Linked DNA regions of Mus musculus: regions 1 and 3 are each reported to be linked to region 2. Evidence: microRNA targets listed by miRTarBase, many of them from high-throughput screens and not tested one by one. Region 2 holds a microRNA gene; each other region holds the end of a gene's coding sequence. Distances are between the middles of the regions.
What was found. The annotated mature microRNA mmu-miR-15a-5p reads UAGCAGCACAUAAUGGUUUGUG and lies in region 2 at 1,772-1,793, opposite strand. An mRNA with a match to its seed (bases 2 to 7 or 8) in the 3' UTR can be bound and repressed. Matches are read on the target gene's strand: a 7mer-m8 pairs with bases 2 to 8, a 7mer-A1 pairs with bases 2 to 7 and ends in A, and an 8mer does both.

Region 1 (4,316 bases), 36 Mb from region 2:
CGGAATGCCACCCCGAGGCCGTCCCTTTCGGGGAGGGGAGGAACTTTCTCCATGTACCCTCAAGGCGGGGCTCACGGGCTCTGTTTGTCTTTTTAGCTGAGTGCACACACATAGACAGATACAGACACAGACAGGGTCACCACACAGGGCTGCAGGAGTTGGTACAGGGAAGTTGGCCATGAAGCAGGGGATAAGCCTCATTTCCACTTCCCAGAGGGCTGCAAACACCCCTCATTTCAGTATTAGTTTTTGCACTGGCTACACTGTAGTGAGGTTGGATTAGACTTTAAAGTAAATTCAAGTCCATTAGAGCTAGGGGGCAGGTGTGAGGGCTTAGTGGACAGATCCAAGATCAAAGAGCATGGGGCTTCCAGGCAGGCCTGGAACCTCCTCCGGGGTCCTTGTACCTCCTTGGGTCCTGCTGACAAGGCCACTGGGCTCACAGACCAAAGGGTCTGTTTGTTCGATGAGTCCTCTTCGTTTGTCAGTTCCCCACCCTTCTCCTAAAAAGTAATAAAACTGTAGAAACAAGGCAATGACACAAAGATGCAGGGGGAAAGATTCCATGCCACCTGTCATCTTCATTGGAAGAGGCACAAAGGATCGCTGTTCCCTTTTTACCGTGTTGCCCACTGATAACTTCCCTTAAAAAGGCAATACTTCCAAAATACACAAATGTATAAATACAGGACAAGAGCATATTAATAAGTCTAAACACTTGAATAATATACTGGCTGCTTAATACTGATATTTTCATCCAAGGAAAACAAAATTAATAAAAAAAAACCATAGCTTAAAAGATTGCAAAGATTTTTTTCCTCGTTAGAATTATGTACCAGCGTCATATAATAATTCTATGTAGATAATATTTCCTCCTTAATCTAGTTCACTTGCATACTTTTTACAGACCAAAGCATAGAAAAAATAACAAGAAAAAAAGGAAAAGTTCTCACCATAAATATCTTCTTATAGCTCAACCAGACTTGCAAAATACATCTAAAAATCAGTTTGATATGGATTGCGCTTTCAAAAGCACTGACATTTAAACGCATGCCTTTCTGTTGTTTTCCATTTTAATAGTATCAAGCCATCATATTTTTCTTTTCTTTTCTTTTTAAAAAAAAGACCCTCAAATATATACAAACAAAAATCATTATGAAGAATTTGGGGGCTGGGGGAAGGCTACCAAGTTCCATGTCCAAAGAAAAACTGGTAACCATGCAGAAATTTTAACATCTATGAATTTTTTCCCAAAATACACACATAGCATTTTTTTAAAAAAAAGAAAGAATTCTGTGTCAAGTATAACTCAAAATAAATAGAAATTAACAAGAAGAGCTATTGAATACTTCATATGGGGTAAACACCATTCTCTCTCAACTAGATCACTAGATCTACCGACTGCAAGCGATTGTCCCTTTTGAGTGTATTACAACCACACGCTTTCCTGTCCCCTGGGCTCGTAGGCCCTCTGAACATTGACTCTCCCGGCACCCAGCCTTGACAGTGGCATCTTTTGCTAGCTTCAGGAAGATCACACGTTCAGCAGGACGGGTGATCGGGGGGCCTGGCTGTACACAGACATCAGTCTAGTGACCGAAACGGTCCTTTTAGGCTGATAGCTCACCTTCTACTGGCCCTGGCTTTCTGAAAACTGTCGCTAGCTCTTTGCATTTTTGACCCAAATTACCTATTTCCAATTTGTCCTCATTTGGGACACAGGTGCACTGTTTATTGCCATGACACCCTCTTTAGAGTCCCAGTGGGATGCCAAAAAGAAAAAAATCCCTTTCCTAGCAACAGGAAGCTTGGCATGGGGCAGCCTTAGTGCAGCAGCAAGACTGGAGAGTCCTTGGTGCTGGATGCTCACCGTCTGCAGCCCAGCATGCTACCACTCGAGGGCAGCACGGTGGCAGCTAATAGTCTGGGCTGCCACAGATAATACCTTTGTTAAGTGCTCAGAGAGTATGTTCTCCCAAAATCTACCCTGCAGCTAGCTGCTGCAGACATACAACCATCTCTTCCACTTACCCCCTGGACCCTTGCTTAACACTTCACGTCAGTCATACAAAACATTTTCATTTGAAAACAAAAGGCAACTGGGCACCATATGTAAACACTGAATTTCAGGCCGATTTCATGGTCTGATTTTTTTTCCCTCTCTCTCTCCATAGAAGCATAGTATGAGTCAAGAAAGTCAGTCCTGGCAGCTGGTGAAGAGGAGAAAGACCAGAGAGGTGTGGCTTGTCACAGGGTAGGGGGCACACTGCTGACCCTGGCCAGGACAACAGCCACCCTGCGACCATGTGACATGCCAGGTAATCTCTCTGCCTCCTTAGGAAGTAGGAAATCTCTATCCTCAGTTTCCAAAGGAGAGGTTCTGTGGCTCATTTTAGGCTTGCCCAGTGTTGGGGGGCTGAGGAGAAAGAGGAGGAGGGGTCCTCTTTCGTCTTCTCAGGGGATGGGGACATCAATCAGGTAAGGAGGGCTATAGGAGAGGACATCTTAAGTGGCTATCAGGACAGAGGCTGGAGGGCGGGGCACCTAGATGTTTAGAGACAAATCTCCCCCCACCCCCGACCCCTAGTGACACTCTGTTCCAGAGGCAGCCAGCTCTCTTCTAGAAGTTCAGAGGTCACTGGGACCTCTTGTTTTCTGGTGCCACTTTGTCATTTAACTAATGGGGAGACTAAGGCTGGGGATGAGATGTCCTTGCCCCAAGTGGCAGAAAGCGGCTCCAGACTGCCAAGGCCCCCCTCCTTCATGCCAGAACAGTCTTACGGCTTTTGTGGGGTGGCATCCCGGTCATGGGTGGGAGGCTAAGGGTCAAGAGAGAGAGCAGGTGACAGAACCCAAGCCTACAGGACAGTCTGGGGGAGGTCATGGGAAGTGGTGATGCCTCATGTCCCTAGGATGTCTTGGCACACTGGTTACTGTTCGATGTCTCCATTGCCTCACCCTCTTGCCTGTCTCATTGGCAGAGGGAGGCTGTGTTTAGCTACCAGGTACAGTGCAGTGATGTCAGGGCTGGTGAGATTAAGGACTCAGTGTGGGCAGGGACAGAGGGCCACTCCTCAGTAGCTGCTAGAAGAAGTGACTGTCCACTGTGGCTACAGATCAGGAATGACTTGGGACTTTCTAGAGTGGTTTTTCATACGAGGCAAGCTGCAAGGTGCTGGGTGGGACAGGGCCTGGTTGGTCTTGGAGGGAGAACTTCCCTCAGGCCTCAGGATTCACAGTTCATTTAGTGTACTTGTGGCAGATGCAGGGTCGCTCAGCCTCCAAAGACACTCAGGATGAGAGCTTTCAAGAACATCGAGACCTCTGCTGGCCTCTGTCCTTCTACAGAGCCCAGGCCTATGGTGAAGAGACCCTGAGCCTCCTGTCTCTGCACCCTGTTGGGAGCATGTCAGCTACTCTGCCAGCATGTGAGACAAGGACACACGCCTCCTCTGCTTAAACCCACAGGCCCGTGACATCTCCTCAAGCATGCGGACATTCAGCCCTTTGGGCAACACAGGGAGGTGGCAGCTGAGGGGTGCTACAGTGGTGGCCAAGATCACTGCACACGGCGACAGTAGTAGCCCAGGACCTTGCACTTTTCGCAGAGGTGCTGAGGGTGCTCCTTGCTCTGGTCAGACACATCCAGGCCGTCAGGCTTCTCCAGGGGTCTCTGCAGAGAAGGAGAGGAAGGGGCCGAGGGGCGGGGGGGGGGGGGAGAGAATCTGCAGTTACAGAGATAGCTCAGCCAGTGCCTTGGCATCCCACCTCTTGCCTGTTTGCAGACACTTGTGTCCCAGAGGAGGCTCAGATGAAATTTCTGGGCTGGCAAGAACCAAGGCAGGGTTCTTAGACCCAGAGCCCATGGCAGATACGTTGCTTGATCCACAGAGAGGTCTGGGCAACTGCCCCCTGAATGCAGATTAGAAACCTCCCAAATCTAGCCCAGAGTAAATTCAGGACAGGGGTGCAAAGGCATCTACCAGATGAAGAAACTGAGTCTCAGTCAAGAGAAGCCCCAACTCACATCTGTCCCTTCAATCCAGTGGCTTTGGGAGTCACTTACCCTGGACATAGCTACATTTCAGCCCCAGAGACAACAGGGCTCTTAGTTCCATAAAGCCAATCTGGGGTCTGGGGTCAACCCCAGCCAATTCCTGGCTTAGTGCCTGCCCATTTATCGAATGACTACATGAACTCGTTTTCTAACAGAGAAACTGAGGCCCAGGGAAAGGAGGTGACTTAGGCCTACTGTGCCACTTTAGCGTGATCCTTGTCTGTAAAGCATGTTGTCACACTGCTCATTTGCAAAGTTT
Region 2 (4,316 bases):
CAGCAACCACATGGTGGCTCACAACCATCCGTAACGAGATCTGACTCCCTCTTCTAGAATGTCTGAAGACAGCTACAGTGTACTTACATATAATCAATAAATAAATCTTTAAAAAAAAAAAAAAAAAAAAAGAACATTTCCTTTGAAATAATTAAAATATTCTGAATATATTTATAAAATTAATGACTGTTAGCTTTAATCTGAAGTTAAATATTAAGGCACAGATGAGATGTCTTTCATACTTTTGACTTATAAAAATCTCCTGTTAAACATTTTAGTGAAAAATAAGAAAAACAGTAATTATTAAGTTAGAAGATATAGGATTTATACCCTAATATGTCATAGGTTGCAAATTAAATTTCAGATTGTTTCCTCAGTTAACCAATAAAAAGGTCAGCTATTCTAAGGATTCTTCTAAATTTAAGTTTAAAAATTCAACGTACACATTTTAGTGTTATTCTCCTTCATTTAAAATGAAATATTTAGGCACATTATACTCAAGATTATGTTATAATCTGTAGCATTTCAAACTTTATCTGTATCTAAAGAAAACTTCAAATCAAGAGAAAAGTATTTTTCTATTATAAGTAATAATATGAGTTTAAATTCATGTACAATTTGGTACTTCCTAAACTCTTTCAAATAAACTTTTATATGGAAATGCTGGAAAGAGAGCTCGAGCCTTGGTGGTACTGGGTATATTCTGTACCACTGTAGCTCTCAAGAAACTCTGGAAAGGTGTTCAAGACTTAAAAATACTTGTTATATTATTAGTCAGTGCTCCATCTGTGGATCCAACCAACCACACATTCAAAACATTTGGGTGGCCAGGCATTGGGGCCTACAGTTTTAAACAAAGAATTTGGGAGGCGGAGGCAAGAGGATCTCAGTGAGTTTCATGGCAGCCTGGTCTACATGGTGAGACCCAGGCTCAAAAGACCAAACCAAAAAACTTATTTCTTGGACAAAAACTGCATTAGTACTGAATTGTACAGTTTTTTTCTCATCATTAAGAGAATAACTTGAATAATACAACTATCCATGTTAACATCCCACTGCACTACACATTAAAAACAATGTAGAGATAAGTTTAAATAAGTATAAGGGAGGATATGCACTGGTCACGAGCAGACATTTTATACAGGAGATCCAAGCATTTACAAATCTGGGTATCTAGAAGTCCTATAATCAGTTCCTCACACAGAAGTCATTATGTTTTGTTTGTTTTTAAAAGACAGATCCTTACATAGGTCTTAGACTTGCTTTATGGCCAAGGATGATGTTAAGCCTCTAATTCTCTTTTTTCCACTTCCTCAGATCTAGGATTACAAGTGTACCTGGTATGCAGTGGTAAGGCTAAAACCCATGGCCTTGTGCATGCTAGCAAGAAGCACTTGGCCAACTGAGCTGCATTACCATCCCACAATTATATAGTATTTTAACAGACACAATATGTAGAGCGTTGTTACTAACATCATTACAGAATCATACCAAACATAAAATCACTAATGCAATTAGAAAAACCGTGTAAACACACAAGTAACATCAATACACATTGAATTACAGTTGTAGAGTATTGCCAACCTTACTTCAGCAGCACAGTCAATACTGGAGGTAATTTCAGAATCTTAACGCCAATATTTACGTGCTGCTAAGGCACCGCTGACATTGCTATCATAGGAGCTATGAATAAAAAGACAGGTACTCTCTTCAGAAGATCAGGTCCTTGTATTTTGAGGCAGCACAGTATGGCCTGCACCTTTTCAACATCCACAAACCATTATGTGCTGCTACTTTACTCCAAGGGTTGGTTTTGAAAACTCCTAGCACCTCAATAGTAATTTACAGAAAAGGCTTTTTAGGAAAAAGTAGAACACATAAAATCTATGTTTGAAAAAAATCTAACACTGGTATGTGCATAATTTTATAGGCTTTCAGCAGAATAAAAAGTATTTCCATATCATAAGTTTAATAAAAGCGTACAGAAAACTTAATACAGTGCTGTAATTTATTGTAGTCATGAAACGAGAAAAGCAAGTCATTTTCCCATACCAACTTAAGAACCTCATTTATTAAACTAACAACTTTTGAATGTGCTTAACACATGAAATAGCTACAAAAGTTGGTTTTTACCTTATTAAGAGCAGCACATCTTTCAAAGCCAAATCCATAGGACAAAGCTTCATGTTAAAGGAAACATGTAAGAACAAACATGTAAGAGCTCAGTTTCAAGAAATTTATACTAGCAAAATATTTAGAAGACATACACATGAAACATATTCCCCAAAAATATATAACCCCCAATCTACACATGAACACAAGATTTATCTCAATATTGGAATAGTTATTGTGAGTTCAGTGTCATTTATTATTACCCAGAACATCATCTTAGGATAACAGGTCTATTTGGTTTCCTAAAAGGATATATCAGAAATCCTGTAGCTCAAGCCTAAGTAACCATTTGTGTGTTTCCCAGTTAAAAAGGCTAGTCCTTTAAAGGAGTATCATTTTATACCACAGGACTTTGACTTAGCTGAAACAAAATTTTTACTACGTTAAGTTCCAACTTCATTTTATGTGTGTGTGAATATCTAGGTTTTCTTACACTATTAAGAAGACTCTTTTCTGTTTAGTGGGGGACTTAGCCATCCCTTCACAAAGAACTGTTCTTATTATTCCAGTTCATACCAGATTTTCCATTCAAACTAGATTACTGTGTAGCAAATGTTTTCTAGTGGGTCAATGCCATTTCTCCATTCCCGTTCATGTTGGGTCATTTGAAATATCAAAACGTCTTTAAATCTTCAAACCTTTGCTTTCAAGTGTGCCAGCTTAAAAAAAAAAAGTCTGAAAATAAAGATAAAAGCTGCTAAAAGTGATTTTGTCCTTTATCTTTATACAATGATTATAATTTCAAATTCAGTGGTTTTTTGAGAGAGGTTTTGAGGACAGTGGCTGCTGTCCTGCAATTCATTCTATAGACCAGGCTGGACTGGAACTCAGAGATCTATCTGCCTGGTTTCCCTCCTGCATGCTAGGATTAAAGGCGTGCACCATCATGCCCCGTTCCAAATTCAGTGGTTTATATTCTGGCCTAAGGACCAAAATAATTTTTCTTTGTTGGGTTTTTACATAGTTCAACTTTTTACTAATGTTCTTAAAAGGAAAAAAAAGCCATTCTGAAAAGAAAACAAAATGTTTTGCTTAAGAAGGTAACTTGAGTGTACATAGGAATACATGGCAATCTTTAAATACCTGAAATTAATATTATTCGTATAAGAAAACAGAATTTTACAACAATTTAAGAAGATAGATCAAACCAAATTGTCCTATTTCCCCCTTCAACTCTATTTGTTTCCATTAATATTTTTCTTTAGAAACATTTACTTTTTACCTTATAAAACTTCTAATATTAATTCATCTTGTTTCCATAAAGCTTAGCACTTCACAAACATTTATAGGCATGTTGCCCAAGCTATATCATCATCTTGACTGCATCAGAATAATGGGATACTTTTTGAATTTAATAATAAGCAACCAGTAATTTGTTGGAGCACAATGACAGAATACAGAATCTGAGGTCCGAACCCTGACACTGTCCTTTGAGTGTCTCCCATGGCTGTTATTCTAGTACACTGACCCTTTCTGGTTCCCTATCTGCAAATGAACCATTAACATACATATAAGCCTTTGTAGGACGCTTCTGAACCATAGCCATCTTATGAAGTTGTCTAAGAACATGGAGAAAACACTACCAGGTTTAAGTTCTGATGACAGAGCAACAATTCTCAGGGCACAAAAAATCTACTTAAATAGCAAAGCTAAAGGCATGAAATACTGCAACAAATTTGGGAAGTTAAAAGCTGGGTATGTTAATATCTTTGATGTGGCAATAATGCCACTATAAAATCTTTGGAACTGTTTCTTCTCTAAACATTTTAAATTCCTAGTTCTAAAATTTGATATGTGAAAAGTGACAGAATCATTTGTAGGGCATACTACTAAATAGTTAAAAATTCCATTTCCATGTGATTTTTTTCTAGGAAAATGAGCTTATGTAACATATTTGAAAAAGAAATTGTTCTAACAACAACAACAACAACAACAACAACAACAACAACAACAACAACATACCCAAATTTTATTTAATGGCTATGAAAGGAAAACTAAACTGATTGTTTAGGCCAAGTCAGGTATGGTGATCACTGACAACTGAATATGTATTTCAATTTGCTCATTTTTTACATGGAAATTTTTGAAATTCAAGTTGCAAGGCTGCAGAGTTACTCAGTGGTTAAGAGCATTTTGTTGCTGTA
Region 3 (4,316 bases), not on the chromosome of region 2:
CACATGCATGGCTGATGCCTACAAAGGCCAGAAAAGGACTGGAGTCCTATAGATGATTGTGAGCTACCATGTGGTTGCTGGGCCCCAGATCCTCTAGAGTGCTTCTAACCTAACCATCTCGTCAGTCCCTGGTCATTTTTAAGGACTCTTTTTAATACCACATACTGCCGACTGCAGTTGTTTAGAGGTAGTTTAGCTTTTCATTCAAGCAACCTTAAGAGTGCTCATGAAATACATCAGCATTCTCTCTCGCTTCCCTTGCTATAGGGCAGTCAAGGTAACCTCTAAATATAGTCAGCCTCTTGGAGCTATAGTTAAGCTGAGGGCTGAAGATGGCTTTGGGTGAGAAACAACAAACTGTTGTCTAGAGACCTACTTGTGGTTCCCAACACTGCGTCTCAGGCAGCTCATAACTGCCTGTACCTCCATCTCTACAGGATCCAGTGAATTAGGGCATTCTGTGCTGCACTCACACAAACATGTGTACGTACACACACACACACACACACCATACATTATTACTTAAAAAATAAGTTTTACCTTCAGGTTTCATTTACCTTCAGGTTTCATTTGTGTATGTGTGTGCACAACCATGCTGTAGCAATGAGAAAATTTGCATATTGGTTTTCCTTCCACTATGTGGGTTCCAGGAATCAAACTCAGAGATTGTTGGGCTTGGCAGCACCTTGACCACTGAAAAATGTCACGGGCCCCCAACATTTTGAGATGGTGTTAAACAGATCCATCTGCCCATGTCAGCTGGATGCCATTATATAGGCAAAGTCTAATTGCTTTGTTTTCTATTTTACAGGGTCCACTACTCAATTTCACTTTGGCATGAGGAGATAATCCGTTGAAACATTAATTGAATATTAAATAGATTCCCTTTTGTAAATCAATGGCTCTTTTGTGCTTTTGTATTGTGAATATTCGATGGGACCAATACATGCACAGCTTATGATTGTATACAAATCCTTAGCAGCAGCACATGAAGACAAACTGGAGTTTGTGTATATAAGCAATGTGTGTGTGTTCATGCACAGTAATCATTAAATTACATGTATATTTGTGGAATGCTAATTTAAGTGATTAAATTATAAACTTTGTGTATTTATCAGGTGGGTGAAAAGATTAAACTTTTTCAAATGACAGTGCTGCTGGACGAGTACCTTGCGGTGCCCTGCGCTTTTCTTACAAAGCTACTGAAGTTACATGTTTCTGCTTAATATATTTGCTACTGGTGATGAAGACAACATATCACTTGTAGAGACCTATTTTTGTATAATGGTCAAAGTTTTGAACTTTATGGGTATTTTGTCAAGTACTGAAATAAAAAGACCTCACCATTTTCACCTTACTGTAGTTGAACCTTCTTGATTTTTCACTAAGCCACAACTCGTGGTCCCTATCATCTTGTTACTTGTCTCAGCTCAGGATCCAAAGTGTGGTTTTGCTCTGCCTTCATTAAAGAACATTCTTAATGTGCCTGTTTTCAACACTAAGGTGGCACTGGTGTTTATGATTAGTCCATGTTTTATTACATTTCGTGTTCTTATGTCCAAAGAGACTTACAAATCTAGACGCAGAAATCAGCTCTCAATATTAAATTGTATCCATAAGAGTGTAGCAAAAATCAGGAAGCGTCCTGCTAAGCCAGCCAAATTCTAATTGGAAAAGTCTCAGAGAGAATACTGTTCTCCAGAGGGCTCCCTACTAGCACTGCACTGACTAAAATAGCTGTGGTATTGGTTTACATCTGGAAAAGAGTGTTTCACTATTAATGGTCTCTGCACTACATGAAGACAATCACAAAGCTGTGCATTGCTGGGAATTTCTAATTTTATTTCCCAAATTTCAACTAGGCTTTCTAAAAATATCAAAACTATTCTAAAGCAACTAGTTGAGCAGGAAAGTTGTGCATTAAACTCTTTAAAAAACTAATACAGTTGCCAAGTCAAGACAGTTCAGTCGGGAAAAGGCAGATGGACAGGTGCTTGCCAGCCAATCTACCCTACTGCTAGTCTACCCTACTAACACCCTATGGCCCTCAGCCTCTGCTGTGTTGTTCACAATAACTTAATAGCTCGTCTGTGGTCAGTATCTCAATCTGGAATTCTAGTGCTTGAGCCCTTTTAAATCTCAGCACTGAAAATATGTCAAAGTCTAAAACTAGACAGTAAACAGGACAGCCTTACTCAAGTCACAACTCTGCCAGGAATCTACCAATCTGATCAAAGTCTAGAACCCCTCTAGGAATAATAAAGACAAAACATCTACATTGGCAAAGAAAATCTGTTACTTAGAAACAATCATCAAACTTTAATCAAGGTTTTAACCTAACACGTCTATGACTTAAAAGTCTTAACAACCACACAGTAAAAGGAGGGACTTGATCAAAGTCTAGAACCCCTCTAGGAATAATAAACACAAAACATCTACACTGGCAAAGAAAATCTGTTACTTAGAAACAAACAGTCTTCAAACTTTAATCAAGGTTTTAACCTAACACGTCAAATGTAACATCTATGACCTAAAAGTCTAACAACCACTCAGTAAGAGACAAGCACACTTTTGAGAGGTGAGCAACTTTTGTAACTTGTTATGAAAATACCTGATTTCTCATGGGGCATTGATAACAAGAGTGACTTACCTAAATAACCAAAGATAATACTAAAAGGAACCTATTTCAGGCAAATAGGATGTAAGCTTCCATATGCCCAGATTTCATGAACTGTACTTACTGAAGCACAAGTTCAAATTCATGAATACAAACCAGTAAAACTTTCTCAGAGAATTTTAATGTGGAGCCTTTAACAGCAGAGATTTAGGCCTTCACTGGGAGTCTTCAAAAGCCTCTTAAAACTGTAACGGAGTTTCAGTTCCTCTTGCTACAAGGAAACACCATGACCAAAAAGCAAATCCCGAGGGTGAAGGTGGGTTATTTGGCTTACACTTCCATATCACTGTTTATCATCAAGTGAGGACAGGAACTCAAGCAGGTCAGGAACCTGGAGGCAGGAGCTGATGCAGAGGCCATAAATGAGTGCTGCTTACTGTTTTGCTCCTCATGTCACGGTCAGCCTTTCATAGGATCACTAGCGTAGGGATGGAACCACCACAGTGGGCTGGAGCCTCTCCCATTGATCACTTATTAAGAAAATGCCTTACAGCTGGATCTCATGGAGGCATTTCCTCAACTGAGGCTTCCTTTTCTCTCTGATGACCCTAGCTTGTGTCAAGTGCCTAAGACCAGCCAGTACACATACTTTTAGAGAAAAGAGGTTTTATTTTGGGGAGTGTGTTAGTCTTGCTCCGTAGCCTAGGTTGGCCTCAAATTCTCAATCCTGCCGCAGGTCCTGAATAACAGCATTACAGGTGTGCAGCACCACTCCAGCAACAGAGCTATTCTTACTCCTAACACAGATTAAGGGCATGTCACAGAGTTGGGTCCGTGGTTACAATCTGTTAGGTTGTCTCCTGAGCACAGAATACGGGCAATGATACCATCTCCCATTCCCCAGTCTCAAGGCCAGAACTCACTAATCTCAAAATCAGACACTTTTAAAAGCCTGGTAAATTTAAACTTCCCAACAACAACAAAAAACCTTAAGCCAAATTAAAATAAAAAAGTCTTACAAGGATTTGATTTTGGATTTTTCACAAAACTGTGACCATTTGGGACCAGTAACATACATAAGCACTCTTTAGATTTTATTACTTTTAGGAATTAAGGTTATCAAGGCAAGGTTCAAGATCGCTGCCATCTTCCAGGAGCGGTGCTCCAGTTAACATTTCAAAGGACACACCACACCATCTAAGTAGCGTTTACTTCCACCTCAAGCTTCGCAGTAAACTTAACCTTTATCCTTTCATATCTTTACGCACAGAAGTGGCCCAACTACACGACCCCATTACCTTTGTAGCATTTGACAAGGCTTTGAAACTTCAAACACCAGTTCCAAATCTCCCTGTGGCAATGTGTGGAGTTAATTACCTGGATGCTGCATTCTATATCTTCTTAATTCCAAGACACACCCCCCCAAATGATTTCTAACATAAACTTGGCTTCCCTGAAATCCTATCAAAACTACTATAAACTGTTTCAAATGCCATTCGGTCTGACAAAAATCACCGAGTTAATAAAACATTAAAATCATAAACTGGCTCTCAGAACCACACTCTTCAACCCAGTACAGCACGAGAGCTTCTCAGAGGCTTCATTCTTTGCCAGCTGCGGCTTGCGGTCCTCTCTCCACACTGGCTTCTTGTTCCTCTTCTCATTTTGATCGTCGTTTGTAACGGATTACTGGGTTTTC

Region 1: miRTarBase lists Zcchc24 as a target of mmu-miR-15a-5p. Seed matches in the 3' UTR shown: 7mer-m8 at 1,832-1,838.
Region 3: the mRNA of Akap9 is a reported target of mmu-miR-15a-5p. Seed matches in the 3' UTR shown: 7mer-m8 at 1,153-1,159.

What each region holds. Positions count from the first base shown.
Region 1 is chr14:25,711,730-25,716,045 of GRCm38, forward strand. It overlaps Zcchc24 (zinc finger, CCHC domain containing 24), which reads right to left. Exons shown (of 4, transcript NM_001101433.2): 4 at 1-3,673. The coding sequence ends at 3,560. Among named protein-coding and RNA genes, the nearest start is that of Ppifos, 13 kb to the left of the region's middle.
Region 2 is chr14:61,630,304-61,634,619 of GRCm38, forward strand. Mir15a (microRNA 15a) reads right to left here and starts at 1,807; the gene lies at 1,724-1,807. It overlaps Dleu2 (deleted in lymphocytic leukemia, 2), which reads right to left. Exons shown (of 7, transcript NR_028264.1): 4 at 2,134-2,180. It overlaps Mir16-1 (microRNA 16-1), which reads right to left and starts at 1,669; the gene lies at 1,577-1,669.
Region 3 is chr5:4,078,848-4,083,163 of GRCm38, forward strand. Akap9 (A kinase (PRKA) anchor protein (yotiao) 9) reads left to right here. Exons shown (of 48, transcript NM_194462.2): 48 at 812-1,357. The coding sequence ends at 849. Cyp51 (cytochrome P450, family 51) reads right to left here. Exons shown (of 10, transcript NM_020010.2): 10 at 1,827-4,316. The coding sequence ends at 4,278. Among named protein-coding and RNA genes, the nearest start is that of Gm40260, 3.8 kb to the left of the region's middle.